Linked DNA regions of Rhinolophus ferrumequinum. Each later gene encodes a partner of the first gene's protein in a complex. Links are inferred from orthologs where the notes say so. Each region holds a gene or a part of one and is shown in the gene's direction. Other genes may lie near its edges.

Evidence for each region.
Region 2: the proteins of DOCK5 (region 1) and RHOG are in contact, whole or in part, in a cryo-EM structure (PDB 8XM7), measured with the Homo sapiens proteins. The link is inferred for Rhinolophus ferrumequinum from reciprocal best matches to the Homo sapiens genes DOCK5 and RHOG. Residues at the interface, in NP_079216.4 of Homo sapiens: Val232, Phe345, Asn393, His394, Lys395, Gly396, Trp400; in NP_001656.2 of Homo sapiens: Ala121, Pro123, Leu126, Arg127, Arg128, Lys130.
Region 3: the proteins of DOCK5 (region 1) and ELMO1 are in contact, whole or in part, in a cryo-EM structure (PDB 8JHK), measured with the Homo sapiens proteins. The link is inferred for Rhinolophus ferrumequinum from reciprocal best matches to the Homo sapiens genes DOCK5 and ELMO1. Residues at the interface, in NP_079216.4 of Homo sapiens: Met1, Ala2, Arg3, Trp4, Val14, Ala15, Ile16, Tyr17, Asn18, Ser22, Gln23, Gln30, Ile31, Gly32, Asp33, Thr34, Glu39, Tyr41, Gly43, Trp44, Arg46, Tyr48, Lys56, Ile58, Pro60, Glu61, Thr62, Tyr63, His65, Leu66; in NP_001193409.1 of Homo sapiens: Ile7, Val8, Lys9, Ala11, Tyr18, Pro19, Leu21, Glu23, Glu36, Asp39, Gly40, Ser42, Asn71, Gly72, Gln392, Asp393, Leu400, Glu401, Lys468, Arg531, Glu535, Leu536, Lys539, Leu547, Gln550, Gln551, Asn554, Arg555, Asn582, Thr688.

Annotation. Positions count from the first base shown.
Region 1 is NC_046301.1:41,911,045-41,921,578, reverse strand, and holds the start of DOCK5 (dedicator of cytokinesis protein 5), read left to right. Parts: upstream 1-6,659; 5' UTR 6,660-6,883; coding exon 6,884-6,926; intron 6,927-10,534. UniProt on the Homo sapiens protein: Guanine nucleotide exchange factor (GEF) for Rho and Rac. GEF proteins activate small GTPases by exchanging bound GDP for free GTP. Along with DOCK1, mediates CRK/CRKL regulation of epithelial and endothelial cell spreading and migration on type IV collagen.
Region 2 is NC_046294.1:47,340,993-47,351,538, forward strand, and holds the start of RHOG (rho-related GTP-binding protein RhoG), read left to right. Parts: upstream 1-6,777; 5' UTR 6,778-6,921; intron 6,922-7,440; exon of another isoform or gene 7,441-7,587; intron 7,588-10,546.
Region 3 is NC_046303.1:7,347,227-7,357,265, forward strand, and holds the start of ELMO1 (engulfment and cell motility protein 1), read left to right. Parts: upstream 1-6,145; 5' UTR 6,146-6,274; exon of another isoform or gene 6,275-6,462; intron 6,463-10,039. UniProt on the Homo sapiens protein: Involved in cytoskeletal rearrangements required for phagocytosis of apoptotic cells and cell motility. Acts in association with DOCK1 and CRK. Was initially proposed to be required in complex with DOCK1 to activate Rac Rho small GTPases.

The DNA of each region.
Region 1 (10,534 bases):
ACAATTTATTAAGTAAGAACTATACAACACAGTCTTATGTAAATTTGCTTCTTGACATCTAAGGTCCTATATTCTTTTGGATTCCTAATTGTGCGTATTTATATTTTTCTTTTATTCTTGACTAGATTCATTACACATCTATTCATGTTATCGGTATGCTTTTACCTAAAATGTCTTCTTACAGGATATTAAGCAATATATGCTGTTTGAATTTTCCTGTTGTTCACATCCTAGGTGAACAGGAGCCTCCTGTCTTCCAATAATACTCTGTTGTGAACAATTCTAATATTTGTACCCAGACAATGAATTACAACCACAATTTTACAAATAGGAAGACTGAAGTCAAGAGAGGCCTTTTTGGTAAATCATAGGAGAAACCAACTCCCAGGGCCAGCACTCACTTGGCACTCGAAGTGTGGGCCCAGCCCAGAGTTACCAAGGACAGACTTAATAGTCAGATCATTTTTAAAAGGAGCTTGCCTCCAGAAGGAACATAAGTGAATTTATTTCTCCTCCTCGAGATTTTTTGCTCTGTGGTCTGGGTTCTGAGAAACAAACCCTGAGGCATAATTTTACAGGAGGGAAGGGCTTGTTTAAATAAGAACAGTATGCTACAGTAACATGATTCAGAAACTCTGTAAGGAACCCCAAGGCACTGTCCTTCTGATCCAGCTGGGACAGGTGATTGTTATCTGGAAGTGAGTGAGTTCGGGAATACTGCCCAAATATGACCCCAAACAATCCTGGGATAAAGCCAGACCTGGAGATTGAAGACTACCCAAGAAAAGATTGCTTTAGTTTTGTACCCTTTGGCCAACACCTCCTCACTGACCCTCGCTCCCCCTCCCCCAGCCCCTGGCAACCACCATTCTACTCTCCATTTCTATGAGTTTGGCGTTTTAGATTCCACATATAAGTGAGATCATACAGTATTTGTCTTTCTCTGTCTGACTTGTTACGACTTATTTTACTTGGCATCATGCCCTCAAGGTCCATCCATGTTGTTGCAAATGGCAGGATTTCCTTCCTTTTCATGGCTAGATAATATTCCATGGGGGGTGTGTGTGTGTGTGTGCCATATATATATATATATATATATGTATATATATATATATATCACATTACATCTTCTTTATCCATTCATGTATGGATGAACACTTGGGTTGTTTCTACATCTTGGCTCCTATAAATAATGCCGTAATGAGCATGTCATGTCCCCCTTTAGAAGTTTCCTTGTTTGATGGGTACGAAAGCAAATGCTTGTGTGCTACTTGTTACAGAGGTTTAGTTAAGGTTTTTATTTATAGTTCCTATCATTCAGAATAGAGTCCAGAAGGGCTAGGCCAGTAGACAATTTCCCAAAACAGATACTCACTGTTCTCAAAAGTGCTCCATCCGCTGATTTCTAGGCAACCTTTGGTCCTTGGAGTCCTTCTCTTCCGATGACTCCTGTTCGAGGAGCTTCTCTTAAACGCTTATGCTACGGACTTCCAGATCAGTGCCTCCTTTATTACCTCGCTCCTTCTCCTGGAGGTCCCCAGCCTTCCCACTCACCTCAAAAGGTGGCAGTTACAGATTAGAGCAGGGGTTGGTGAACTATGGCCCTCAGGCCAAATCCTGCCCACCACCTGTTTTTTGTACAGCCTGCAAGGTAATGATTTTTTGATGATTGAAAACATGATTTAAAAAATTAAAAGAATATTTCATGACCTATGAAAATTACATGAAATTCAGATTTCATGTCTACAGATAGTTTTATTGGAACATAGCCACACTCTTTTGTTTATGTATTGTCTATGGCTGTGTTCCTGCCACCATTGCAGAGCTGAGTGGTTGTAAGAGACAACATGGTTGTAAAGTCTAAAGTCTAATATAGATATGGGCCCATTATAGTCAAAGTTCACTGACCCCTGGTTTAGGGCATGGATCCTGGAACCAGTCTGCCCAAGGTTTGAATTTAGTTCTGCCACCAACTAATTGTGTGGGCAATATCTTAACATGTCCTGAGCCACAATTTCCACATTTGTAAGGTGAGGATGACAATAGTTCTGTTTACCTCATTAGGCTGTGTCGGGATCAAACAAGTGGATTTAGAATAGTGCCAGGCACAGGCCCAAATTACAGGCCATAAAAGTTAGTTATTATTGTTACACTACAGCTGGTGCTATGGAAAAATCTGTCTGGTATTAAACAAAAATTCTCGATCAAATGTTGGTTTCTTAACTGACCTCAAAGTAATAGCAAGAAAAATCTACTGAATATGACAGTCATCTAAACAACATAGTAACGGTGTGTCACTGTCGTGAAGGGACTCCAGGACGAAACTTCACTCCTGTCCCAGGTAAAGGTCAAATTTAGGCATTTGACTTCCTGCTTTTCTACATAGTCCAGGTATCTCAAGAACCAGTTTATTCTCTTTTACGTTGTTTTAAAGAAGTTTAATAAATTTTTCCATTTTTTTCATGTTCTTTTACAGTCATTTTCCATGTAAATGTGTAATTTATATAGTTATAATCATATCATGGCATAAACCATTTAATTATTTTTACTTATGCTTACATCACAATGTTTCCACATTGATTCTTAGTTTTCATCTCTTGTTTTAAACAGTTTTATGAAGATATAATTTTTCAATACATATAGGAATTTTTCAAGATATATAAACATACTTTTAAAAAATTAAGGAGTTTTCATTCCTTCCCACCTGACTATCCATCTAGTTTTCATCCATCTAATGACTTCGAATTGCTTGTCATCAACTTCTCCCAAAGGTGATATTGGAGCACATTTAGATATTTGCAGCAAAGAGCATTCTAGAAACAAAACTGAAAGCTTTTTGCTGTGATCATGAAAAGAGTGAAAGTGCTTACCAAGCATGAATCTCACAGGGAATGAGGACAGGAATAGCTTTGGAATGCTGACCATCCTCTCCCCATTCATCAGAGAAACTGGACATACAAAGCCACGTGGCAGAGCTAAGGACAGACTCAAAGGTGCTCACCCCTCAAGTCATGGGGTGCGGGGCAGAGAGTCTACAGTGATGTGAGTTTGTGACGTATATAAAAAAGAGGTTTCTAGGGCTGTAGAGATCAGCTCCTTTGTCCATTTACCTCAGGGCTCCCAAATTACAATGAATCACCCCACTCCTAACTTACAGAGAATCACCCTGTCCCAAAGAATTTGCCTTCAGAAGATTGCAAAGTGGTGCTTCGAGTCAATGACATTCCTTTTCCTTTTTTTTTTTTGCTAAGTCTAGCAACTACACTCTCTCATATCTCATATGTAGGATCAAAGAGTGAGTCTCCTCTATCTAGAAAAACAAAAGATGCTCTTTCACTGAATCCACAGCGTCTCTCGTAGAAGCCATCCAGTCAGCCAGACTTGGCGAAGTCAACCTGGTAATCAATGGAGGAAGTGATGTGCTTGGCAGTTTTGTTGACATCCATCTAGTCTCAGTCATTATAAGGGATAGGCACAATATGCATGGCAAACTACCCTTCACATTCATTTATCCTCACTGCTTTCTCCAAGGCGCCGCTTCAAACAGAACACTCGTGTTGGTGTATGCCTAAGTATGTTTGCATTTGTGTGGGTTTTGAGTCGAATATCTCTGGTTGTAAATACGCTTAATGTTTCTTCTGAAAAGAAATCAGAGGAAAAGGAAAAGGATATTTCTGGGAATCAAGCTGTTATTCCACCTACCCATCTGGTTGACTCTCTAATTTTAAGCCTCATTTTAATAAAAGACTTTGAATAGCACTGCTTTTATGATTTAAATGGCCTTTCCAATTGAGATTTAACCATCTGATATAACAAAGTGGGTGGACTTCAGTCTTCAGAGGAAACAGAATAAACATACTCAAAGCTGTAATTTAAATTTTCCATTTTCCTCCAGCCCTCTTAACACAATTATTGTCAAACTTGAAATAGCCAGGGCTTAAATACAAACCTCAAGTTTTGCAAAAATCTTATAAGGCAAGGGTGGGGAGAGGTAGCTGAAATCATTTTGGTAGAAATCCAGTTCCACTGGATGAGCATTGAACACTCTGATGTGTATTAAGTTTACAATATATCCATGGTTAGAGAACACTGGACATCCAATCGTCTTGAACACGGAGGATGGAAGAAACTTTGTGAAGCCCCATCCCAAAATGCTTCAGTTCCTAGCATTGTACATGAAGGAGTTACCGAGGAAGGTATGAAAAAGTGAGTCCTAAAGAAATATCAAAAGAAAACTTTAGTACAGAACAACTTGGATATAAAGGATAAAGATGAATTAGACATCACAGATGACCAAAAAAAAGGCAACTCTATGTTCCAGTAGCTCAAGCCTCAAATCTTAGGGTCATCTTCGACCTATCTTGTGCCTTGACCCAGGGACAAGATCCAAGGTTTGTGGGGCCTGAAATGTATATAGTGAGGCTCTTTTTTTTTTTTTTTAAAGAAAAGCATTATTTAGGGGGGCAAACTTTCCAAAAACATATGCTGATGAAAGTACCCTGAGGGGTCCAGAAGCCTCAGTCATTTCCCCTGTCCACACTGCCTTTCTCTTGGTTCTACCTTCAATATATTTCAAGAACCCAACCTCTTTCCCACCTCTCCACCTACACTCCTGGACCCAACTACCTTCATTTCTTGCCCCAACTCCTTAAATTGCCTTCCATCCTTCTGGTCTTTTCGCATCTTCCCTTGTGTCTTTACACTCTGCTTCTCCCACAGCAGGCAAATTAGATCATGTCCTTGGTTGGCTCAACACACTCCAAACCGCTCACAGTAACAGGGAAAAGTTCTTACTCTGCTTTCCAAGTTCTTACTATGCTTCCCATGTGGCTGGGACTACGTTTCCTCCCACACTCTGCTCCTTACTCACCTGTCACCACCTGGTATTCCTTGATGTTTTTGGAACCTGTCAAACATGCTCTGGGCCTTTGCATTTGTTCTTCCTGAGTCCAGAATACTTTCTCTGGAATCCTTACTTCCTTCCTGTCTGGATTTCATTGTCACCTCACCAGATCAACGCCATCCCACATGCCTTGCTAACCCAATCACTATAGAACAGAACCTCTCCCATCCTCCTTGCTGTGGATTTTTCTCCACAGACATAGCCTCTTTGGGCATACATTCATTTGCTTATTGCCTTCATCACTTCTTCTAGACTGGAAACTCTATGATGAGAGGGATTATACTTTATTCATTGCTGTGATCCATTCTTAAAACAATGCTTGACATATAATAGGTCCTTCATAAATATGTGTGGAAAGAAGAAATTACCTAACCTGGGGAGTTAGGTTAATCATGATGGCAGAGGAAGAGAGAAATTTCCGGGGAGATGGTGGAATTCCTTCTGTTACCATTGGCAGAGAAAATAATCCTCATGTCCCTTCCCTGTATTACTTCTAAATGTTAGGTTTAAAGTGACAGATTTCTTAACTTATTATGACACTTTATGGGTAAATACCTATTTGCGGATGAAGTAGAAAGTAAACCTAGAAGTTAGCCACCGCGAACAGGACCTCTTTTTAAAAACTTCAGATCTGACTTTGCAAAATGCATGAATTCTTCAATCAAGTTTTACTGTTTATCTTCCTTTCTTTTCATGTTCCAAATAGGCAAGAAAGCCATCGCAGACTGCAGGGACAAAGTTTCTCTCAAATGTCATTTTCTCAGACGGTGAATATAAACCAGGTGGTCATTTACTCGGATTTTTACTTCCATGTGTGAATTAAAGACCTCCCCACCATCCACGCTTCATTCTTGAGGTCTCTCCAGGAGGAAGTGAGTTCCAGGAGGGCAGTTTTAGAGGGCAACAACAGGAGCCTAGGGCACTTCAAAAGAGCATCCGTGCGTTTGGCTCTTCGTTGAAACAATACAGTCAGTGAACCAGAAGACTTGGATGTGCCAGGTCCCCTTCTCCGTAGGGATGGTCTTTGCGCGGTTGGTCTGCTGGAAAAGGGAGGCATTGGGGCGGGCTTTTCCCTTGAGCATGAGGGTCTGAGTTCCCCCGAGGCTCTCCTAGGAAACCATTTAATACGTCCGAGGAGCCCGTCTGCCTTGTATCTGTTGTCTATTTACCAGAAGACACACATGTTCCTGCTTTGAAGGCTATAAACGGTGGCCACAGGAGATCAAGTCTGTCCTGGAGTCCGGCTTCCGGCTCGCGTGGTGTCAGTTAAAGCTCTAGGGGGTGGACGCAGTCGTCAACTGCTCATTCATTCAACAACTATTTACTGAGGGCCGCCGAGTGCCGGGCACTGGAGGTGTCCCGGGGGCGAAAAGCAGCTCTTACTGGTACATTGCGGTGCCCCCGGGGCCCCGGCGCGCGCAGTGGGGACGCAGCCCGCGCTCCTCGCCCACCCAGGGCCCGGCCGGCCGGCCTGGGGGGGCCCAGCGTCCCAAGCGCAGCCCTCCAGACGCCGGCGCCGGGGAACCCGCCCCCACGGAACCAGCCTGGAGGGTTGCATCCCGGAGGGGAAGGCGGGGGAAACGCAAAATACCAAAAGTAAAGCCCAGACCCCAGTCTGCACTGGGAAGCTGCTCCGGGAAGTCGGCCAGGCGGAGAACAAGCTGGCCTGGGCCGGGGAGAGCGGGCGGGAGAGGCCGGTCCTGGCGCGGAGGCGGGCGGAGGGCGCGGCGGGCGGGAGGGGCCGGGGCGGCGCCGCCGCCCGGCCCAGCAGGTGACCACGGGCCGGGCCGGAGCCGGAGCGAGTCCCGGGCGGGCGCGGGCGGCACAGGCAGCGCGGAGCCGATCCGTGGGGTCGCGGAAGTTTACCGGAACATGGCGGAGGAGCCCGGGGCGCGCAGGGGCGCCGCGCGGCGGCGGTGGCCGGCACCCCAGGAGCTGTAGCCGCCGCAGCCACAGCCGCCGAGGGGCGAGGTCGCCGCCATGGCCCGCTGGATCCCGACCAAGCGGCAGAAGTACGGAGTTGGTGAGTGATCGCCAAGTGCGCGGGAGCGGCCCTGTCTGGCACGAAGTTGGGCGGCGGATTCCAGGCACTGGGTGTGCGCGCCGCCCGGGACTGGGGTCCGGCTCCTGCGGCCCCGGGGGGCGCAGTCAGCACTCCACTCCCGCGGCGCAGTCCGGGGGCGGGTGGGGAATCGGAGTCCTCTCCCCGAGCAGGAGACCCGCAGGGGAAGTCACTCCGGGCTTTGGGAAGCCGAGTGACTAAAAGTGCATCTGGGCTCCGGGACGGATCATCCTGTTCCCGAACCCAAAGCTCAAGCGCCTGGCATAGTGGAAACGTCAAAGGCGAGGGCGCTCGCGGGTTACTCCTTTAGGGGCCCCAGCTTCGGTGCTCGCGCCCCTCCTCCCCACCGTGCGGTTTCATTCAGGAGTTTGTAACCCGCGGAGGACCGCTGAGTGCTGCTCGCTGTCCAAGGGCTTTCTGCCTCCCTCTTCTTCGGTTCTCTCTGAAGCCCCAAAGTGAGGAGTTGGAGGGTAACAGTTGTGAAGTGAATGGGAAACTCAAGTTGTGTGGATGTGATGGAAGAGACAGGCATTTTGTGACATGGAACGGGGGTGGTGCCCCCCGAGGCCGGGGCTCATCCCCTAACGGAGTGTATGGAGAGGGTTAACGACAGCCTTCTGAACCCCGAGTTTCGTCGCAAAATCAGATGAGGACACTTTATTAGGGAAACCGTGACAGATCCCGCGCTAGGCACCTGGCATTCGTAGCAGCGGTGCGGGAGGGCTCCCACGGCGCGCGGAGGGAGGGGTTGCTGCTGTGTGGGTTTGGATCCGAAACAGGCGGGGTTTTGACCCAGGTGGAAACCGTGGTCCTTCGACTTTCCATTAAGGAGAGAGGTTGCTCAGGTCTCGTGGGGAAGCTCTGCCGTAGGGGCGATTAGGAGCGACGCTCCAGTAGAAACACAGATGTGTGCGTTGAGAATTTTATCGCTTCCTCTCAGGTTCATTCATTTGGCCTGTTTGTAATCTCATCGTTTACTTCACTCCCTTCCGCGCCCCCATTTTTCCTTCCTCAATGGTGCCTAGGACAGATCCCTGAACCTAGTTAGTACTTTCAGATGGCGAAGTGATTTCAGAGATCCGCTTACTATCTCCAGATGCGGTTCAACTCTGTAGCCAAAGCAACAACAAACCCTCTCATGTTTACTATATTGTTCTTAGATTGTGATCCTTTTTGTGTGTGTGTGTGTGTGTGTGTGTGTGATAATACATGTCCATACTATTCCTTGTTTTTCCCCTATTCCCAAAACGTATTTGATTTTTTTTTCTTTCCTTTAAAGTGCGATTAGTACAAATCCTCGCACTCTCCTGTGGCTACAACTCAGAAATCGTTAGGTGGTGTTTCTCCTGCCCCAGACCACCCTGTCATGATTTGCTCATGAAGCTTCAGAAAGGGACGCTTAGTCAAGTGCCAGTTAGTAAGTAGTCAGTAGTTACGGAAGTGAAATGGTCTAAAATAAACCATTTTGAGTATTATCCAGTACTAACTACTAAATTAAATCATATTGAGCAGTGCCTAAGTGTTCATTACTACTTACAAAATGGTTCTCAATTCTCATTTTGCTTACCAGGATAAAAGCTGTTTGCAAAACGATTAGGCCTTTGGTGTAGTTAATGCAATCATATCCTACAACTGTGGTTTTTAGTGCCACAGTCATAGGAGCAAGTATGAGACGTTCTCTCTTTTTTACCCTGTGCTGGATTCAGGTTACCTTGTTAGTTTCCATCAGTCAAGGAAAGTATTTGAATTGCATTTCCAGGGCATAGGTGGTAGCAAAATTGCCCCAAGATATAATTTTTGACACTCGTGTCACTGGACACAATAGATTCTGATTAATCTGTACTTGAGGGAAGGACCCACTCTTAGGACAGATTATCTGACAATAAATCACCATCGTTTATTCCTAAAACACATTGTTACTCATATCACCTCTCTGCTTAGAAGCCTTCCTTGGCCTACAGGGTAAAGTCTAAACTGAGCCCAACTTTCAAGTTTCCCATAATCCAATTCAACATATCTTCACTGACGTTATCGCTCTCACTGCTTCTTTCATTAACCCTCCAGTGCAGACACTGCCCTTCTGGCTCTTGCGCAATGTGCCACGGAGAGTCCCTCCTTTGGGACTTTGCCCCCTTCTGCTTGTCCCTGTTCAGATTGCCCTCCCACCTTTGCATCCCACAATGCAGAATTTCCCTTAGGGCTCAAATCCCTCCCCTTTGCCACCTTCAGATTTGGTATTCACCAGACCTCACACCTTCATACCTCTCCCTCACAATTCCTACATTGTGCGATCCCTTATATTATTACTTATCCTCTTATCCTTGAATCCAATGAACCAGAAGGTTATGGTTTTGTACCCCTGTCACTCAAGAGATATGCTACCAGGTATAGGGCCTTCCTGTAGTAACTGCTTGTCCTTCGTGTTGAGGTGACATCCTAAAGCACTAGCCTAACTTTTTCTGTGAGGATTTAAAGCTGGTTTTTCTCTATTAGGTTTTAGCATCTCATTCGCTTCAAGATGAGGTTTTAGCATCTCGTTCACTTCCATATGAGGTTTCCTTTGTTCTGTTAGATGGACAAAGTGAGAGCCTTCAGTCTGTCTTTACCTTTGCAAGTAAAAATGTGACATGTGCTGCTGAGAAACAAGGAAGCATAGAATAGATGGGCTTGTTTCAATGTAATTGGGAAAATTGGCTTGTTGGGCTTTTGGGGGGAGGATTGTCGTCACTTCTGTGTGTCTGGATGAAGAAAGCCATGTGATGGTCATTTTGAAGCATTTTAATGACTCAGAGCTACTCTGAGAGTAGCGCTTTGATCTCACTGTGAATTGTGGGCGGTGAAGCTAGCACCTAAAGAGTGCCTAAAGAGATAAGTGAATTGCCGAATACCAGGCGTTCTTACCTTTTTGATTGCACGAACCCTTTTGGCCATGAGGTTAAACTGGTGGCCCCCTTTTTCAGAATCATGTTTTTAAGCGCACAAAGTCAAATATGAAAGATTGAAAATGAATCCAGTTGCATTGAATCCTCTACTGCCTTATGTTATCTTGGTGCTACTATTGGCTGTCCTCACATAGCCTAGATTTTTCTACAGGGACTGAAATGCTATCTGTCTGGGCTTTCTTTAGTTCTTAAACATAGCATTGTTAGTTCAACCTCTAGCATTAGGTGGGCTTAAATGACCTATGTGTGTTATCTGGGTTATCAAGTGAGAGGACCCAGAGGCTTGCTTCTTTAAGCTTCTGGTCCATTAGTATCCACGTGTGAAGGACTTAGTGCCTAGTGTTCATCCCCACAGCCATGGAAAACTCTTTCCTTTCTTATTTTCTTTTCCTTTATTCTTTCTTTCTCTCCTTCTTTAATGTGTTCTATTTAAAGATCTGAGGGTATAAAAGTTTTTGTCTAGATTTTAAGCAAACATTCGTGATAACTATTCAGATTAGTCTTCTGAGTATTGGAACATTTATTTTAAGTTTGCTCCCGAACAAGCTATTTCTATCAAGAACAGATCTAGAACATGTGGATGATGGATTCTTTGCAAAATAATTCATTATTGTTTGTTGGGATTTA
Region 2 (10,546 bases), on another chromosome or scaffold:
GGAATGGCCATCAGAGCTATTGTCGTATTACCCTTGATATCCTGAATATCATCAAAATGTCTTCCTTTTAATATTTCCATTATCTTTGAGTAAAGAAAGAAGTCACTGGAGGCCAGATCAGGTGAGCAGGGAGGGTATTCAAATACAGTGATTTGTTTACTGGCTAAAAACTCCCTCACAGACAGTGCTGTGTGAGCTGGTGCATTGTTGGATACAAGAACCATGACTTGTTGGCAAAAAGTTCAGGTGGTCTAACTTCTTTACACAGCCTTTTCAGCATTTCCAAATAGTAAACTTGGTTAACTATTTGTCTGACTGGTACAAGTTCATAATGAATAATCCCTCTGATATCAAAAAAGGTTAGCAACATCGTTGCAGCAAGTTCGAGAACTTAATTGTCAGACCTCATATACATAAAATGAAATATTATTCAGCTTTAAAAAAGAAGGAAATTTTGTATGCTACTATATAGTCACAAAAGACAAATACTATGATTCCACTTACGTGAGATCCCCAGAGTAATGAATTTCAGAGAGACAAAAAGTAGGATAGCAGCTGCCAGTGGCTGAGGGTAGGGGAGGATAGGGAATTGTTTAAGGTTTATGCATATAGTTTCAGTTTTGCAAGATGAAAAGAGTTCTGGAGATTGATTGCAAAAAAAATGTGAATATACCTAACACAACTCAACTGTACACTTAAAAATGGTTAAGATGGTAAATTTTATGTGTATTTACCACAATTGAGAATAAAAATAAATACTGTCTGGGAGCCAAACCATGGCCTGGACAATAGGAGGAACATTCTGGTCTCCTCTTTGCCTCCAAGATCATGATATGACATCAGAAAAGCCAGTTCCATTCTTGATCTCAACCTCCCCAACTATAGGATAGATAGGTACCAGATTATTGATCTAGTTCAGCTTTAATATTCTATAAGACAGGATAATCCTGAGACCTCATGGAAGTGCCTGGATCAAAAGCTGTGACTCTCACCTCAATAGCTCCTATGTTGGGTCCTCATGTGAGTGTAATGTCCGTAAGAAGAGAGCTTTTCATTTTTCATCTTTATCATTTTTAATCCTATATACGAAGCCTTTACCATGTGCCAGGTGTATGTCTCTTGAATCACTCTGAGGGCTTTGCTCCTAATAGATAGTCTGCAGGTGTTGATTAAATCAAATTGGATGAAGAATTCTTATGCCTCTATTCCACAATTTGCAAAAGTTTTCATATCTATTATCTCATCTCCTCCCTCACAAGAGCTCTACTAGATTGGATGCTATACTAATTTTACCGAGGAGGAAACTGAAGCTGAGGAAATGAAGTGGCAACCACTTCAAGCTCTCTTTCTCCTTTGGGATTTACTCTCCATCCTTCAACTCTCAGCTCCAGTGAAATAAAAGCACCCATACCTTGACCAATGGTGACAGCCTAGCATCAACCAAAAGTTATGATTAGTTTAAAAAAAAAAAGTCCAGCTCAAAAGTCACCCCTTCCTTCCTTTGGCACTTTCCCTGACCTGCCCTGTCTCTCCGGTCTCCTGCTATACCTTAGAGAACTCATGTAACTGGATTGTGATTATCTAATAAGTATCTATCTTCCCCATTAGCCTTAAACTCATCACGGACTGCATTTCATTCATCTTTATATTCTCCCAGGCTGGGACTTTACCCAGCACATACCCGGTACTTAATAAAAGTGAATAAATGATTGAGTGAATCAATGAATGATGTGTGTTCTGCACTGCAGTCTAGCTGTCATTCTTCTACACCACAGGGCTTCTGGTTACCAATAGCTTTCATTTGGAAAGTGAGAGAATCTTCAGCAGAAGTGTAACAGAGTCTTAAATCTCTGGCTCAGAAAAGTTTAGGAATCCCTGAGTTTGGACTGTGTTATCAGTGGAGCTCCCTGGTGTCCAAACATGGAAAATACAGCCGTCACTGAGAAGCTGCCCAGGGTCTTGACTGCGTAGGGAATGAGGAAAGAGAGATCTTGGCTTCTAACAACTCTTCCCAACCTAGTTTCACAGAGAATCATCTCCCCTGCCAGAATCAGTTTTAGAATCTTACTGCCATTGTTCACTCATTCATTTAACATCCATTGAGTAGCTGGTTCCTAACAACCCAGTTCATACCCTCAAAGTTTTCAGGGATATGAAAACTGAGCTCTTTGAGGGTATGAGGGTATGAACTGGGTTGTTACGAACAGCTACTCAATGGATCCAAAATATATAATATATATATGGAGAGAGAAAGAAAGAGAGAGAGAGCACGCGCAACTAGTACTTGTTGATAATGTCTTGAGAGAAATTGGTACAGGGTCGGGTGAGGAAGCACGGAAGAGGGACAAGTAACTGCCTAAAGCAGTCAGAGGCGATGCAGAGGCACATGGATGGGTAAGGGTGAGGGGTTCTGGAATTAGACTACCTAGATTCACATCCAGTTCTGCTGTGTGACTCTGGGCAAACTAAGTTGCTCCTGAACACCCCAGGGCTGAAGGAGGAATTTCCCAGAGAGGATTATCCAGGTGACCTAGGTACCATCCAGTTCGGAGAACCTCAAAGATGCAAAGATGTCCTGGAGGCAAACAGGACAAGTATCGTTCTGCCTGCCTGGGAGAAGGGACCCTCCTGGAGAACAGGCATGCCCTTCGTCCTCCTTTCCCCCACCCAGTTAGTTCCTCAGAGGGAATCGGAACAATGGATCATAGGATGCTACTCTAGAACTTAGTTTCATTTGTCACTTCCCATGTTCTCTCTGCTATCTTCTGTCTTGCCCATCATTGTCCCATGTCACAAAATGGGACATCAGGCTGTCTTTGGGGGTAGCAATGAGGGGAAGACTCCTACTTCTACTCCTCAGGCAGGCTGAGAGAGCAAAGAACAAAGAATCAAGAGGAGTCTCAAAAAGGTTGCATCCCTGGAGCCACGTCAGAGACAAAGGAAAACTCAGATTTAGGGTTAGCCCGAAGAGGCTGGGACTGTGACTGAGTGGAAAATGCTTGTGGGCCACTGGTCACTGAGCTGGAGCTCAGTGAGGACAGGCTGGGAAGACCCATTTGGAAGCCACCCTAGCCGGTGAGACCAGTTCAGGACCCTTCTCCTCTTCCTTTCCGTCTCCATCCTGCCCTTTGAGGGGGACCCAATCAATCAGCTTTAGCATTTTTGACCTTGAGAAAGAGGGAGGAATTGGTCGGGGGCGAGGAGGGGGGGAAGCTAAGACCACTACAGGCATATAGAGAAATTACTTAATGTTTATTTGTTGTACCGCGGGCAACCTGCTAGATGCTCCACTTGCATTATTTCATTTAATCCTCACAATCCCACAAAGCACACAGTATTGTCATTCCCATTTTAAAAGGAAACTAAATGGCTCTGTTATATGCTCTCACAGCACTCTGTACGCTTGTATGATTGATTAACCTGTTTAAGATCTACCTCCCTTGCTAGTTGCATCAGGATAAGAGCTTGTCTATGTTTTCACCATTGCATCATTGATATGATACTATACCTGGCCCAGAAAAGGTTTTCAATAAATATGTGTTCAAGGAATGAATGAGAGAGGTCATGTGACTTGTCAAAGTTCACAATATAAGTCGCACAACCAGGATTTGAATCCTGGACTGTCTGGCTCCAGAACCTGTCTGTGATCTTTCTATCCTACCCTCACCAAGTATGCTGTCATATGCTGTCTCACTTATAAATGTCCCAGCTTAGTGTCCTTGTCTCTCAGATGCTTGTAAACACAAACCTACACCACCTGCCAAGAACTCACCTATTCAAGGAAAGCAAGTCAAAGAGTAGGAAGAAGAAATAGCCCATCTGGGATTGTACCTTCTTCTTACCCTCTTCAGCTCAGCATCCTCCTTCTCCAAGAAGCCTTTGCAGACAGCCCTACTTATCTACCTGTCTCCCTCTCCTCTGGCCTATCAGCCCTTCCTATATCTGAGCCACAAAAGTGATTCCAAGTCACCTAGCTTCTGATGGTTTTACACATATTAGTGCTTTATTAAGGCAATTTAATTCCACAGATGTATGTATACTGAAGGCAAATGTGCACTCAGGCCTGCCTATGCCAGGCCCAGTGGGTGGACACAGAGATGAATCAGACACAACCTCAAAGGACTTAGGCAGTGGGGGATACAGACATTAGGCACAGATACAATTAACCAGAGCACAAAACAAGACAACCTAAATGGTATGAAAAAACTATGAGCAATATGCTACATGCATAAACCTTAATTACTTAATTATTGTTTTGAAGAGTGTATCATAGAAGGTCAGAGCTCAAAGATATCATCTGGTTCAAACCCTTGTTTTCCAGTGGAGGAATCTAAGACCCAGAGAAGGGTGAGGCCTAGCCCAAAGTCTCATTAGCCAGTCTGCCTGAGCCAAGATTAGACCTCAGGTCTTGTCTTCCAGTAGCTTCATATACAGCAGTCCCATATCGCACCAGACCATGAAGTTCTCAAGGCCAAATCAGGTTCTCCCACCTAAGCAAGCTAAACCAGGGCCAGGCATGCCCAAGTCTAACCCCAAGCTGCCAATCCAGCCTTTTGGTCTACTGCACCCTACTTTTCCGTGTACCTTACTTTTACCACTATGAATCTAAAACTGATATTCAAGTATTGTTACAGAAAAAAAATTTTTTAATGACTTCTTCATCCAGAACGGTAGTATATAAATCAGATAAAAGTTAACCAACTCTGGTTAAAGGAAAGGGAGCCCCACTATTTTCCTGCCCTCAAATCCTGGAAAGGGAACTCTAGGAACACAACTCAAAAACCTTTGTTCTGGGACACGATTTTTAATGGCTTCATGAAAGCTGTTGTAGTGTGTGGTCCTCCATGAAACCTTGTCTTTTATGGAAATTCACAAACCTTTCTTCACCATCAAATGCCAAGTACTAGCCATGTACTCCCAGTAGGGTATGAAGAGGAATCAGATTTTCCCCTTGTGTTTCCAGCTCTCCTCTCCTCCACAGAGAGGAGGTTTGTCCCAAGTACTATGGGGAAGGAGAAGAGAGACCCAAACTCTGCCTGAGGGGTCAGGGGAAGCCTCCCCAGAAGGATCATAGAGAGTAAATTCATCTACTCAGTCACTTACCAGCCTGTATGTGACGGAGACTCTGACTTCACTGTGTGAAGTCATACCCACTAGCTACATGTACTACTGAGCACTTGAAAGGGGTCTAAACAAAATTCAGATGTACTGTAAGTGTAAAACATACACCAGATTTCAAAGACTTAGTACCAAAAAAAAAAAGAATGTAAGATATCCTATTCATTTTTATAATCAATAATTTTATATTGATTACATGTTGAATGATAATATTCTGGATAAATTGGGCTAAGTAAAATGTATTATTAAAATTAATCTTACCTTTTTTTGACTTTTTAAAAAAGTATCATCACTAGAAAATTTTAAACTACATATTTGGCTCACATATTTCCACTGGATAGTTCTAGGAGAGACTCTCAAGTTCATGATAGAAGTAGTATGTGTGTGCTTGTTGGACTGGCGAAGATGGCAGCCAGACAGGTAGTATAGTCCATTAGGGTCATATCGTGAAAAAATAAGTTTATTTTTTCCCCTAGCATTCCATACAGGAAAGAAATCAGGCAGAGGGAACAGAATGGGTAAAGACTCAAAGATGAGGGCAGGCACATTGTGTTTAGGGAACTCATTCTTGTATTAGTATGATTATTTTTTAAAGGCATTTGTTTTGTGTTTACTTTGAGCCAGGCATTGACAGCAGGTCTTTTACATCCATTGTCATGTTATCTTCACAACTACAGGATGAAAAAGAGGTTATTCTATTTTACCAAAGATAGAATTAAGGCTCAGAAAGGTTACGCTATTTTCATTGTTCTTCCTCTTTATCTGGAAAGCCTCTTGGAGACAGGGAGCCCGTCTTAAGCGCCTCTCAGTTTTCCGGCACAGCGCCTAGCACTGGGCTCTGCACGTGGTAGACGCTCAGAAAGTTTGTGCTGAACTGAGGATGCTCATTCTCAAGTCAGAGCTCCAAGAGCAACGCCGGGGAACAGAAGCACCAGAGGGCGCCCACGAGTCTGTCCACCCGCCTGTCCCCAGGGCCGCTGCAGGATCTCAGGCCTGGGTGCGGCCCTTCTGCCCCAGCAGTTGCGCGTTCGGGCGAGAAGAGGGGGCGAAGGGAGCCCAAGGTCCTCTGTCCGCCCCGCCCCCTCCCCAGAGCACAAGCGCGCGGAGTGGCCGGGTGCGGAACGACGACGCGACATCCTGTTTTTTGGGGCCCGCGGCTCCGCCTGCGCCTCTGCTGATCTTGTCTTTCCCCGGGTGCTGACGCCAGCTCCCCTTCCCCCAGTCTCCGCACTCTCCCCAGGGGTCTGGGGCCTTCCCACTGCTGAATCACCACCACCCCGCACTCCCTCGGGGTTCCGGGCAGGGGTGGGGACTGCCCCAGCCTGACCCATTCTGACCAACGCCGAGCCTTGGATATCGCTCGACTCCTGGGCTTGAAGACATCAAGACTTAGGGGCGCCTGTTCTCAGCATCTTCCCGCAGGGCTTGGTGGGGGCAAAAACGGGGAGGGGGACAAAAGCTTAGAACCTAGGCTAGGGCCTCTACCGGGCTGGGGGTGGCAAGGAGGAGACTGGGAGGACTGACCTTGGGAGGACTGACGTTAAGAGCCTCGGAGGGAGAGGGCTGGGGTCAGGGAGCCCAGGACCGGGCCGGGGGCGAGGCTGGGGGTGGAGAAGAGACAGAGGGTGGGGGGACCGGCCCCACGGACTTCCTGGTGCGGCCCCGCCCCGGCCCGCCCCCGCGCTCCGCCCCGGTCGCCGGGACCGCCCCCCCCACTTCCTCCGGCCTCCCGCTCTCACTTCCTTCTCGAGCCGCCTGCTGCTGCCGCCGCCCCCAGCTCCCCCGCGGCGGGGAGGGCTCCAGGTGAGGCCCGGCGCGGGCCGGCGGGCTGGGGGTCCCGGGGAAGGGAGCCCGGCCGGTCCGGGACTGGGCACGGGCGCCGGCCCAGGAAGTTTGCTTGCGGGAGGCCGCGGGCGGGAGGTTCTGGGCTCACTGCAAGTTGGGCGGGCGCGGCCGGGCGGGCGGGCGGGCGGGGCGGGGACCGAGCCACTGCGAGCCGGCGGCAGCTCCTGGAGGGTGGGTTCCTGTACCGTGGGCGGCTGTACCGGCTCCCTGGAGCCGCGGGGGGCCCCTGAGATCGGAGGTCTCGCGCCCAGAGAGAAAAGTCTCTGAAGTGGAAGGGTTTAGAGTTGGGATGTGGGACTCAGAGGTGGGGTGCCCTCAGAAGTTGGGGAGCTATTCTGCAGTGAGTGGGGTGGGAGGGCTGGGCTAGAGATGGCGCTCCCACTGGTCTGGCAGTTGTGACATTTGTGAGGTTGAGAGGGGGGCGGTGTCTGGCCTCTCGCCCTAGCCTGCAGAGGACGAGCTTCCTCACTGGAAGATCGGTACCAACCCAGAACCTGCTCGCAGGCTGCAGCCCAAGGGTCCTCTGCACTCAGGAGGGCGCGGGAGCCCCGCTGACCCCAATCTTTCTCTGTGTGCGTCTTTTTGCTGAGGCCCAACCTCTCCATCCATGGAACCAAGCAACAGGTATTTGGTGAGCAAATACCTGCTGTGCCTGGCTGAGGGGTGCCTGGCCTTGCTCTTTTGTGGGTAAACTGAGGAAGAGAAAGGGCCTGGTCTTGTCCTGTGACTAGAGTTGGAAGGACTCTCATTCAGAGGTACTGATAGTCCCTGACAAGATGGCATCACTGAGAGCAGCACTGTTTTCAGGAGATGGAGAGACTAATAGGGCTTGTGGGAGACAGCAGGGGTTCTGGCCTTGGGAAATGATTAGGAGCCGTCTCCTAGTTGACCTCTCGCCGGCCCGCACCCCTCATTGGCAGTCTCTAAATTCTATACATTCTCACTTTGTCTTCTTCCATTCCTTCTTCAGACTCTACCCACAAACCCTCCATCACCCACTTCTCGAATCTTTTTCAGTTTCTTTTCCCCCAAACACACAGTCATGCCAAGGCCCTGACCTCTCACCTACCCTGCCCTTCTGTCCGTCTCTGTCCCCTGCAGCCTACCCCCACGCCCTTCTTTGCTTAGCTTCTGTCTCCCACAGATGTATCTACCCTCTTGCTTCTTCCATCTCGCTTCATTCTTTTGATCCCTCTGTCTCCTTTCCTTTCAGCCACTTATCCCCAGCTTTGGCGTCAGGATCTTTGGTGAGTTTCAGAGCCTTTTCAAACCTCCCCAGCTCAGAGAGGCAGGCTGCAACCTCCCAGTAATAGAGATGATTAAAGGGCTAGAAAACCTCTCTGTATGTGTACGTGCGTGCGTCTTGTGTGTCGACATTTTTATCTCTTGGAGACAAAATAACTGCTCTCAGCCTTGAGAGGGCCCAGAGCAGGGGAAGCCAGCAGAATGAAGGGAACCTGCAGTGAGTGCGGTTGTGGGTAGGGTAGGAGGAAGCAGTCTGTGGTGGTCAGGGTAGAGTGGCACAGTAATAAGACTGTTGAGAGAGGCCGTGGGAAATCAAAATCACTCAGACCGTTGGGTGCTTGATCAAGAGGCCAGGCCTGGAGGCCAGAGGACAGCCCGAAGGCCCCTGACTCCAGTGCTTACTGGTTCCAGCACCGCCTGGTGGGGAGAATGGGACCAAGTTTGCTAGGTGTGACAGAAGGAAAGGGAGGAAGCAAAGGCAGGGTTCTGGAGAGAAGACTAGAGCTGTTCTAACTTCATTCTTACCTGTTTTAGTGCCAATTCAGGAAAAGAACAGGAGCGGGAAGCAAAGGTATCTGCCCCCTCTGCCCTTCTTGCTGCCCTCCGGGGCCTGCCCAGGCTGGGTACCTACGTGCCCTGGCTGCATCAGGGCTTTGGTGACAGTAATCCTCTGCAGTCTGCTGAGCCCTCTGCCTTCAGGATTCCTTAATATTCCCCCTCTTACCTAAGATCCTACTCCCTCTCTTATCAGGAATTTCTCCTGAGTCTAACTTTAGTCCAACTGGCTCTGTAAGCCCTTTCTAGGGCTCTTTCCTCAAGCCTTTGAGATGCATGTTGTGAGATCTTGCTTCTCTCTGTCTCCTCCAGTCTACTCTATTCATTTCCCTCCACTAGGAAAAAAAGGGGGGGAGGGCAGCAAGTGCTACTCTTTTGGGATTCCCAAGCACAGCTAGATTTAAGGGCTATTCCTGTTCCCCATTCTGTCCTCTTCCATTCACAGCTGCCCTCTCCCATGAACTGTCTCTTCGTCCACACACCAGTGTCTTCTACTCTCATTTCTGGGAGGTATAAGGGGTTTGGCCCTGAGAGGAAATCTCGGGGACCTACATTAAATCCTGCTCAGGGAAGGATGTGCCTGCAGGACCCCCTCCCAGCATCACGGCTCAGTAAAAAAACCACCCAGGAGTCCTGACTCCCGCCTTGCCGATGGGTACTTATTTTAGGATTCTGCATAACTGAGCAACCCACAGGTCTCTGGGGGTGAAGATAGGACGGATGAGATGGGTTCTCCCGGGCACAATCTGGTCCCACTGGAGGTTTGAGCTAATTGCAAGAAAATCATTGCTAGAAAAAATATGACCAGGGTAGGAGAGGTCTAAATGGGAAAATATCAGGGGCGGGGGGTGCCTGCAACCTAGGAGGCTGCTATTGAGTTCTTGGCTAAAGAAATAAAGCCAAAGTCCTGACATGAAAAGAAGTGGCTGATGTGAGATTGTCACAAATCCTGGTTGGGAATCTAGGATCTGGAGAGTTATTTCTGGCAAGATGTTAGGGCAAATAAGGTGGGTAGTATGACCTTTTAGGGGGTCATGAGCGGGAAGGTATGAGAGGTTGTGGCTGTAGTGAGATGGTTGAGAAGATACTAGAATGAGGATGGATAGGCCCCAGGGCCCAGACTGAAGACCCCTCCCTCCATAAGCAGTGTAGATTCATTAGTGGTGAGGCTTGTAGAGATCTGTGAGGAGGGAAACCAAAGACAAAGTCTAGGCCAGAACAGATTGGTTTTCCTGTCCAGGATCCAGCTTCCTCTTTTGTCCTCCTGTCATGCGGGGGAGGGCATCTCCCCAGGAGCTAGAAGCTAAAGGAGGAGCTCCTCAGCTAGGACAGGGCTAGGATGGCTGTCTGTCCAGTAATGTCAGTTCTACATCATAGATGTCCCAGTATGCTCTAGGCATGAGAGCCTGAGAACTTAGAAGCAAAAAGGTCTCAGACATCAATCTGACCCCTTGGGTCCATTTCCTGAAGGGATAAATCATGGTAGAATCATCCTGAATAAGGCCAGAGTGATGGTGGGCCCATTCCTAGGCCTGAGGAACAATCCTCACCTTCTCTGCTTTGTAGAAGTAACCTCAGGCTGGAGGTTAGGAGAACCAAGTCCTTGTCCTGGATTTGCTCCCAAATCTCTGTATAACTCTGACCAACTTTGTCCCTCGTGGCTCAGCTTCAACATGAAGGAGTTGCCTATCAGTGCCTACACAGAGCGTGCAAAATACCGATAGTTCTGACTCCCCTTCCCCCAGAGGCTCCCCATAGCAGTGGCCTCCACTCCGGGCCCTCC
Region 3 (10,039 bases), on another chromosome or scaffold:
AATAAATACAGCATCATGAGAACTTCTAGGAACACAGTGAATAAGTAGGCCACATTGGGACAGAAAATCTGAAGACTCCATAGAGAATGTCTTCAAGGGATTCCATTTGTAAGAACATGGAAGACTTGAATAGGCTTTGGCAATTTAAAACTCCAAGAAGGGGAAAACACAAAGAAAGACATGGCGCCTCCATGAAGGAGGACACTTAGCACCTTAGTCCTAAGCAGGCAGGGATCTGGGTGGTATACACAGCATCTACTACAAGTGATTATGAAACAGGTGCCAATTAGAGAATCTGGACATTTAAACTTCGATAAAAAATAAAAACAAACAAACAAAAAACCTAAATAAATGGGAAGAATGGACAAGTCTGAATTAGTGATCTGGAAGACAGAGCCAGGGGGTTCTCAGGGAGGGCAGTACAGACACCAGTGGGAATAGAAAGAATGAGAGAAAAGTGAAGTGATATGAATGATAATATCACAAGGTCCATTAATTAAAAAAAAAACACAGAATGTGATGTTATAATCAAAGAACTAACAAAAGAATTGGGAGATAGGAGTAAGTAAGCCAAAGTTTTAGAAATCTTTTATAGAAGGGAGTTAATAGGTACTGTATGAAGCTGATAAACCAAGAGATAATAGTGTTGATAATTAAAACCGTGGCATTAATCACTGGAAGAATTAAAAACAGAAATGATGATGTGTGTTAACCTCTAGGAACTAGGACTGGGGTTAGGAATGGGAAGACTTTTACTTTTCATTTACTATTTTACACTTATTTTTTTTTTAACAATAGACCTGTATTTTGTGAAAGTTTTTTTTTCCCTTTTTTTTTTTTTTTAAAGTAAAGAATATTGATCTTTCCACCTATCCTGGAAAAAATCCATAACCATTACAAGTGCATACTGGTTAACATGCACATTGGCTCCATTTATTGAGTATTTACTATGTGCTGGATATTGTTTGAGAGAAGTATCATCATCCAATTATCCTCATTTCATAGGCTCAGAAAAAAAATACAATAATTTGTTCAGGTCCCGTGGCTATTAAGGAGTAGAGGGGAGATTTCTTTCCATGTCTGTAAGACTCCCAAGCCTGGACATTTAAATACTTTGTCAGTTTTGGTCTGATGAGATTCCGGGGTCAATTCTCTTGCCATTTTTACTGTACTATTGTAGGGATTCCTTGAGTGGTTCATCAGTGCTATTCCTTTGACTTGGTCTTTGGGCTGTGGGTGGTTAACTGTGGATATAGATCTGAGAAGTCTTAATAAATGCCCTACCAAACCAAAATCCAAACAGGGGAGTACATACGGTTGCAGTCCATAGAGATGTTTTTGGTTTAAAAGTAGGGTGGGATGACTAGAGCAGAAGGGGACTGGTACAGAGTAAAGTTTCCATTTTGGCGTGGATGTCCTGAACAATAGTATAATGGCTAGGAAATGGGAGCATGTTGGAGATGAACTCAGAGCAGTGGTGTCCCAGAAATGATCATTGGCCAAATAAGAGTGGAGTCAAGGCTTTCATTCCTTGACCTGGGGGCAAGAGTTGGAGGTGGTATCCCACTGGACACAAGACTGCAAGAAGGCCCATCAGGTTCAGTGTTTGGTGAGGCCAAGGCGGCAAGGTGAAAGCAAATGGCTTGTTTGTGAGCCTCCTCGACTACGGAGGATGAGCAAACCTTCGATTCTAGGCCCCTCTGCCTCCTTTGTAACATTTCAGTTTCTCCAGTTCTCCCGAGCCCCCTCGGTTAATGCATGATAGGCTCCTATCCTCTCTAGCTTTGGCTTACTGCAGTGACTTCTTGTTTGTACTTCCCACGTGCATTTTTGTCTCCCCTTTAATCCATTCCGTATTTAGTAGGATGAACCTTTAAAACAAAAAAGAAAAAAAAAGACGAAAGTGACCGTGACAATCTCTTGCTTAAACTATTTCACTTGGAAAACAAACCAAAGTAAAACAAAAACCAAAATAAGTTTCAGTGCCTTCCTATTATCCTTAGTATATCCAAATTCCATGATATGACTCTCAAAGGCTTCCAAATGTTCACTTCTGCCCACTGCTCTTAGATTCAATTTTGATATTCTCACACTTCAACCAAATTGACCTTTTAAGGTTTCTCCTACACTATGATTTGTACAGACCTTCATACAAACTGCTTTTTTGGCCTGGAACCCTTCGCCATCACCCAAGCCACATCCTTTCCCCTCTTTGTCCTGGCTGACACACACACGCATGCTCACTTGAGGTCTCAACTCAAGTGCAGCTTCCTCGGGGGGCTTATACAGATGATGTTAGCCCCTAGGGCACTGCAACTTCCTGGTGTTAGGGTACTCAACAGAAGTCTGTCTCCCTAACTAGGAGACAAGTGCCAAGAGGGGGCGCCCCGTGTTTCTCATACTTATCATTGTAGCCTCCCTTTCTCTCGCAGTAGCTCACATTTCAGGCATTCTGTGCACACTGAATTAATGAATGATTGACAGAAGCAGTGCCCTGGTACAGCAGACCCCCTTGTTACTTTGATGTCTGGGGACTGCCCCAGACCTTGTTATCTCTGGTACAGCAACTTTGTGAAGGCCACGTTCTGCCCCGAGAGCTGTCTGAAGTCTGGAGTCAAGCCAACGTGAGCCTGATTCTAAGACAGGGAAAAAGAACAGATTCTTCGAGCTGTAATAGATCAAGGAAGTTGAGGCTGACGGGGGCAGAATTCTGAAGCAAATTACTAAATGCATTATTAAATGCACAGGGCCCATTGGGAGTCCAATAACTGTTCTTTCTTTTTAATGAATTAAAAATGAATATCTGTGAACACTTAGAAAGGAAAGAGGTGACCAACATGAATCATCATTGATTAAAAAACAACAGGCCATTTTTGCAGTTTGGGGTCTCATGGTGCCATTTTGATGGCCTTCCACTCACCCTCCTACCTTGGATTCCGTACATAGAAGGAGGATAAAGACATGGGGACCACAGGATCGAGGTATTAAAATCTGGGAAGTTCCCCCAAACACCTGTCCATCCATCAACAAGGCAAAGATGTCTTGTAAACATAGATGGGGAAAGCAGTTTTGAATTGGGGCTTCCACGAGTTTTGTTCTCCAGCCAGCAATCCCCCACCTGCTTCCTTTTCTTCAGCTCATCCTGAATCTGAGCTGGGTGGTCCTGCAGAGGACACCTTGAATCCACCTCCCTCACACTTTCGATGTAGATGAGGCGGGCCTCGCTCCCCGGGGCTTACTGCAAGTGCTAGTGAACGGCTGCACTTGGATTCTGACTCTGACCCTCAAATGACCCTCCTCTCTACTACAGCCTGACCTAGTGGTTGAATAGCTCCAGCCCTGACCAGGAGCTGAAATAAAATCAGAGCAGTAATATTAGCTCTCTCCATCCCCTGCGGCTACAAACACAGATGTGGGGAAAAGGAGGGGACAATGCTCTTTTTCCGGACTCCGTTACCATGACTTATTGATTAGAGGACCCGAGTAGATAATAATAGCTAAGCTAACATTTATTGAGTGCTTCTAGTGCCAGACCCTGTTCTAAGAACTTTACATGTGTTAACTCATTTCTTGCTTGCTTAGCCCTCCCAGGTAGTTATAGTTTTAAGCCCGTGAATTAAGTCACCTGCATAGGGTAATGCAGCTAGTTAGTAAATGGCAATGCTGGGATCTATACCCAACAAGCAACGTCAGAGAGGGGGCCCTTACACATGACAACACTGCTCTACTGTGAGCACTGAAGAGCACCAGCTGAACCCTGGGTGAAGGCGGGTTTCTCGAAGGCATTTGACACTTCTAAGATGTCTTTATGAATACAGTAGAAAAAATGGCTTGTCAACTGCACAGTGAAGAAGGTTATTAGTAACTGAATGATCCAGTGAATGCAAAGAGTATGGATCCCTACCATGGTGGAGGGAACCCCTCAGTGGGGTGTCATCCAGGAACCCAGTGCTCTTACCTCATCTGTGGATTTGGGGAGACACTGGATGCCTGAATCAAATCCAAAGAGCCTTCCTTAGAGAAGGTGGACCGGGAGCTTTAGTCGCAAAGACCAATCCTTGGGCATGGATATGGCCTAACAGTAACATAACACAGAGTTTACAGTCTTCCCTTTGCACTGAGATCAACGGCGAGATGTTTTCGAAAAAATAATTGACCAGAGCTGAGGCTGGATCGAGTGTTTTTAAGCATTGACAAGAGCTCGGGCTAACTGATTATATTAATTAGTAAATTAATTATATGACAACTAAAATGTTTGGAAGGGCAGAGACAGGTGTCCTTGAAGGGGTAGATGACTAAGAGGAGAGACATTTGAAACCATATCACATGAGGAGGAATTAGAGTAACTGAGAGTGTTGAATCCTCAGAAGAGAATGACTAGTTAGAACTCAGGGTGTATCTTTAAAAATCTGAAAGGTTATCTCTTGGAGGAAGGATGGGACTTACTCTGTGTTGGCTGCAGAGGGCCGAGTTGGGAGCAAAAGTTACAGGGAGGTGGGTTTGCCTCATTGCTGTGCAAGGAGGGGGACAGAGTTCCCTTACTACTCTTGGGATGACGATGACAGCTAATATTTACTGACTGCTCAGACTGTCTGCACTCAAGTTAAGGTCTTATATGCCTTGGCTAGGAAGTGGTGGATCAAATTCATAGTAATCACCACAGCATCTCAGAGCATCATTAGAAAATGCTCCTTTTACCAACTGCTTATTAAATTACCTCATTTGATAGTTGCCCTGTTGACTGTTATGATTATATCATTATTTTTTTATAGATGAGAAAACAGAGAAGTTAAATTACTTTCCTGGAGTCATCCTGCTTTGTTATTATTGGCTTCTAATGATCTGGACCCAAGTATTCCTGCTACTAATACTTCCTCTCAAGGTTACACGTATAATAAGGGGTCAGATCAGGGCTGTTCATTAGAGTATAAGGTGAGCCACTAATGAGAGCCATATGTGTAATCTTACTTCTTCTAGTAGCCACATCCAAAACGTAAAAATAAACCAGTGAAATTATTTGAAGTTGCATATATATACTGTTAACCCAGTTGCATCTAAACTCTTATCATTTGCTGAGCTGATGTCATCAACACTAAACTCATGAACAACCTATTTTACATTCTGTTTTTCACACTAAGTCCCCTGTCTATTTTCCACTTACTGAACACCTCAGGACTAGTCACATTTCAAGTATACAGTAGCTGTTTGGATCTCTGCTCATGAACAGCTCGCACAGGACTACAATTTAAATCTCCTGGGGGTGGGGATTGAAATTTAAAGGGGAGCTCTGCCTTCCAACTTTGATTCTAAGGCCTCCCTGCCCCCAACTTACCTGGTTGCCAATTTGAATGGAATCCTCAGCAACTGCCTTTGCCTTTTCTGGTAGAGCCAATGTAGATATTTCTGAATTTGGAAAGGACAGGTGTTTCTCCTGCAACCTTCCAACAACTGTCATTTCCCTCTTGGCAGCTATGCTGGGAGAAGACGTGTTTGATTTCTGCTTTGAAAATGTCTGAGGTAGGTTGCATGAATTAAATAATGTACTCTAAATACCAATTTGGGGGTGGAACATCTTGTTTTATGCAAATTCAGGGAGGCCCTGGCGTAACTGATCAGGAATAAATCTTGTCGCCTGTACATGCCTTCGTGAGGGTTAGGGGAAGGCAGCATGATGTAGTTATTTTTGCCATGCTGCCCAAGGAGAGGGGTAGAACGTCAAAACAAACACACCAGCCTCTTAAAGGAGCTTTAAAACAACCCACCGAAGTTTCCCCTCAAAGTTCCAAACCAACTGCCAAAAATGAAGGTACGTAAAAAGATGCCAGGCGCTCTCGGTCTCCTTAAGGTGGCGCTCTGAGGGTGACGGAGTTAATTAGTGCCTGCAAAACGCCGCGTGTGAGCTCATCCGAGAAGTCCTGCTCTGTACACTGAGTATTTATGGCAGATCTGAGGCGGCCACGGTGTTTGACATTTTCTTTTTAAGTAAGGGGACTTCAAAAAGTCGTGGGCACTCGCCCCCACCCTTACCGCGCCCCAGGCAAAGTACCAGGCAGGCCCCAGGGCGCAGGCGGGCGGCGAACGCGCCAACCACGCTTGTCCAGGCGCAGGTGCCGGGGGCGGCGGCGGCCACTCCGCAGCGTCCGCTCCGGAGGAGAGTTCGCGGCTGATCTCTGGATGCCTCGCAGCTGCAAAACGTGTCTCTGGCCAGCAGGAGGAAGGAAGAGGAAGTGAGAGCAGCGGCAACCGGCGGAGCAGCAGCCTGCGGACCCGGAGTGTAAGTGCGTGTGCTCGGGCAAGCGCTAGCGGGCGAGGATGGGCACGGGATAGTCAGACCACCCACACCGCCGCGGCCCCGAGCAGGGCGACAGAGCCTCCGGGCCCCCTTCAATGGTCGCGGGTCGCCAGAGGTCTGTTCGCTGGGAACCTTCGCTGCCACTGCTGCTGTCCTGCGACCCCGGGCAGGTTCGTAAAGTTTCCTGAGCTGGCGCGGAGCCCCGGCTCGCTGACCTCGGCAGACCTGGGGGTGGGGTGGGGACGGAGGGATGGGGCTGGGGCAAGGAGGAGGCGTCCTGCTCCGGGGACTCTGGTCGCCTCGGAGACACTTTTGTTTCCTCCCTGGGGGCGCCGCGGCTCGGGCGGGGGTGGCCGCGGCGTAGTGCGGGGTGAAGGCTGCGGGCGCGACGGGGCGCTGGGCATTTGAGGAAGTCTGGGCAGAGGTGGATGGGGGGCTGGAATGGGAATGGGAGCGGAGGGAGGGGCCCCCGGGGATGGAGAGCGGGGCCTGGGGCCCGGGAACCCGGAGAGACGTTTCGTCCAGGGCCGGCTGGAGGGGGCCGCGGGAGGGCTGCGCTGCCGGCGACTGGGATTTGGGGCCACGGGGAGTGAGAGATTGGGGGCTTGCAGTCACTGGGGGCTGCGCGGGAGAAGGAACTGGCGGCTCGGACTCCCGGCATTTCTCGAGCACTGGCAGACGGGAGGGAATCCCCCAGCGAGCGCGTTCCTGGGAGGGGGCGGTGATGGGCTGGAGGGAGGGAGGGCCGAGAGGGACTGGAGCGGGTGGATGGGGCAGCTGGGAGTCCCGGGGGCCACTGTGAGCAAATACACGCCTCCCGGGACACGCCGAGGTCCCGGTTGGGACCGGCAAAAATGGTGGGGGGCTTCGATAGAAGATACCGGCATCAAAGAGGGGGCGCACCCGGCGCGCCTTCAGAGAAAGGGGGCAGCGAAGCTCGGGGGTCCCTAAAATCAGAGTGGAGAGGGGCGGCGGAGATGGCAGGAGTAGCTTTGAGGAAGAGGAAATACAGAACTCAGCCGACCCGGGGGTGCGCGCGTGTTTGGGGTTGGGAAGTCCGTGTTGTGCCGCGGGCGCGCGCGAGGGTGGTGAGAGGGGGTGTGTGTGTGTGTGTGTGTGTGTGTGTGTGTGTGTGTGTGTGACTTCAAGGGGCTTTGGAGCCAGGGACTCCCCGCCGAGTGACCCTTTCCCGCCTGGGGGCCCTTTGAAGTTGGAAGCTTCAAGCTGGGGTTGCTGGTGTTGGAAGCTGCGTTGACCTAAAGCCGCAGGGCTTGGCCCCCATAGTGACCCGGCTCTGGGCCTCTGGACAGCTCCTGAGACTCACGGAGTGTGTTTTGTGATGCCCTGTGCTCAGGGCACGGGCCTGCTAACACCGCTGTTCATGAATGATTTGGACCTAATTCGTTCTAGTTAAGGTTTATTTCAGAGAACCTAAGACAAGGGTTTGTGCCTCCCGGGGTGGAGGCCACAAGGTCCCCATTTAGGGCTGCCAGTGACTTGGGGGTGCGGTGGGGGGACAGTGGAACATTTTCTGAGTTTTTTTTTTTTTGTCCATAAAGTAAAAGGAATTAATGACCTGTATGTTTACAAAGTATACATACATGTAATGTATATACATACATGTAATGACCTGTTTTTATATAATGACCTGCATGTGGATATCAACTGTTTGAGGAGCTAGAGGGATTTACCCCCACTTTTAGATGGAAAAGACCTGGCTGGCAGCAGCTGTTATTAAGGACCTCTGGTCATGATTTTTCATATTATCTCACCTCCATACCCGCTTGCCAAGGTTGTTTCAAGGATTCCAGGCCCCCAGTTTACAGAACCGGGCATTGTGAGTTAGAAGGCCGGATCGCCTGCTGTCACCCAGCAGACTTTTCCCCTTAGAACTGACCTTTCACATCTGGGCTCTTTACTAGGTACATGTCCTATCTTTCCAGGGCTGTGGTTAAATGTGTATGTGACCTTTCCTACTCAATTTACTGCTCAGAAAAGACAGTCTTTAAATTAGACATACTGGTTGTCTTCTTGGGAACTTGTGAGGGAAAGACCTGGAGTGTTGCAGCTCTGTAGCGGGGGGGTGGTTTTGGGAGGGAAGGGAATGGGGGAAAAGCTTGGTAGGTGTCAGGGAGGGGCAGGCTGGGAGGCAAGCCCAGAACTGGGTCTGGTGGGACTGAGGGCCTGGAGTAGCCACTGGGCTATAGGGTGGGTGGTGCTGTTGATGGCCATATTGCCACCCCCTCCATCCCTCACCATGTCTCATCTCTCTGCCCTTCTTAACTGCACCCGTTCTGACTGCCTTACACTCTTTCACCAAGTTCTCTCCCCAGGGCCTTTGCATATGTTACTCCTTTTGAACAGGAGGTTTTTCCTACCCGTCCACATGGCTCACTCTTTTACTTCCTTCAGGTCTCTGCCCAGCTGTCAGCTTCCAGGGAGCCTTCCCTGAATACCTCTTATAAAATAGCAACTTGCCACCTCCTGCTCCTCAACTTGCCACCTCCTGCTACTCCTTACTCAGTTTTCCTTCTTAGCACTTACGAACCTCTGGCATTATATATCGGTTTGTTTGTTTGATTATTGTGTGCCTCCCCCATTAGATAGGAGTTCCACGAGGGCAGGGACCTTGTCTTGTTTACAGGTCTAGACTCTAGACTGATTCCTAGCATAGTAGGTGCTCAATAAATATGTGCTGACTGGCTGAATAAGAGGTGCCTGTTATAGGAGAGGTTCACCAGGGTAATATACCAGCAAAATATTGTAGCACCAGCGGCAAGAAAGGTGCCCAGGTAACAACAGACTTTTGCTTTTTCTCCTCTCTCCTGTCCCCAGTGCCCAGCTGCTCTTCTTGCAGACCCCTTTCTGCCTTGAGTAGAGCCTTCCCTTAGAATTTCAGCCTGAAGAAAGGAACAGAGAGGTGATTTCTTGGGACAGTGGTAAATAGGTACAGGTTATTAAGAACGCATTGCCACTCTAGATCTGGTGTTTGTTTTGTCATTCCCCTTGGAGAAAGTCTGTCCAGAGTATGTTGCTTTCCCCAGAGAAATCCTCCCCTAGGAAGAAGGACTGTGAGTGGGGTGAAGTCAGAGACATCGCTAAATCCCAGTCTGCTCTCCCAGCAGGTGGAAGTGGAGAGAGAGAATGAGAGGCAATGAGGGAGGAAGGAGAGAGGGGCAGGAAGAAGCTGGATGGCAGATGCAGGGGAGAAGAGAGAAACACCTAGGAGGAGGAAAATGACAGAGAAAACAGTGAGGGCCTTGTGCAGTGCTACTAAATCATAAGCATTTATGAAATTGCAGTTGAGTTAGGACACTGCATAGTGTTTTAAAGTATTTTACCCCCTTTGGGTGTTTGGTGTGAATGGGTGGGGAGACATGGAGGACGGCAGTGCTTTGAAGCCCTTGCTGAGAGGATGTGGCTGGGGCGGGCCAAGGGGCTCAGCTGAGGCACACTTGGCTTATGTTATCATCTTTGTTAACACTGAAGGTGTGGAGGTAGGTCATTTCTACAGAGGACTCTTCCCGGCTGGATCTATGACAGTGGGTACCCTTAAGGTTTGCTGCCGAAGCCTGCAACCACTTTTTAACGCCTGAAACCAGCCAAGTGGATGGTTTGGCTTATAAGACATTTATTCTGTTGAATTTGGAAAATGTAGGGAGTTACTAGATCGCCTACATCACAAAGCCTCAAGTGTTCTTTGCTGATTACACAACTCTAGTTCTGCTTCCTTCTATTCAACTAGTC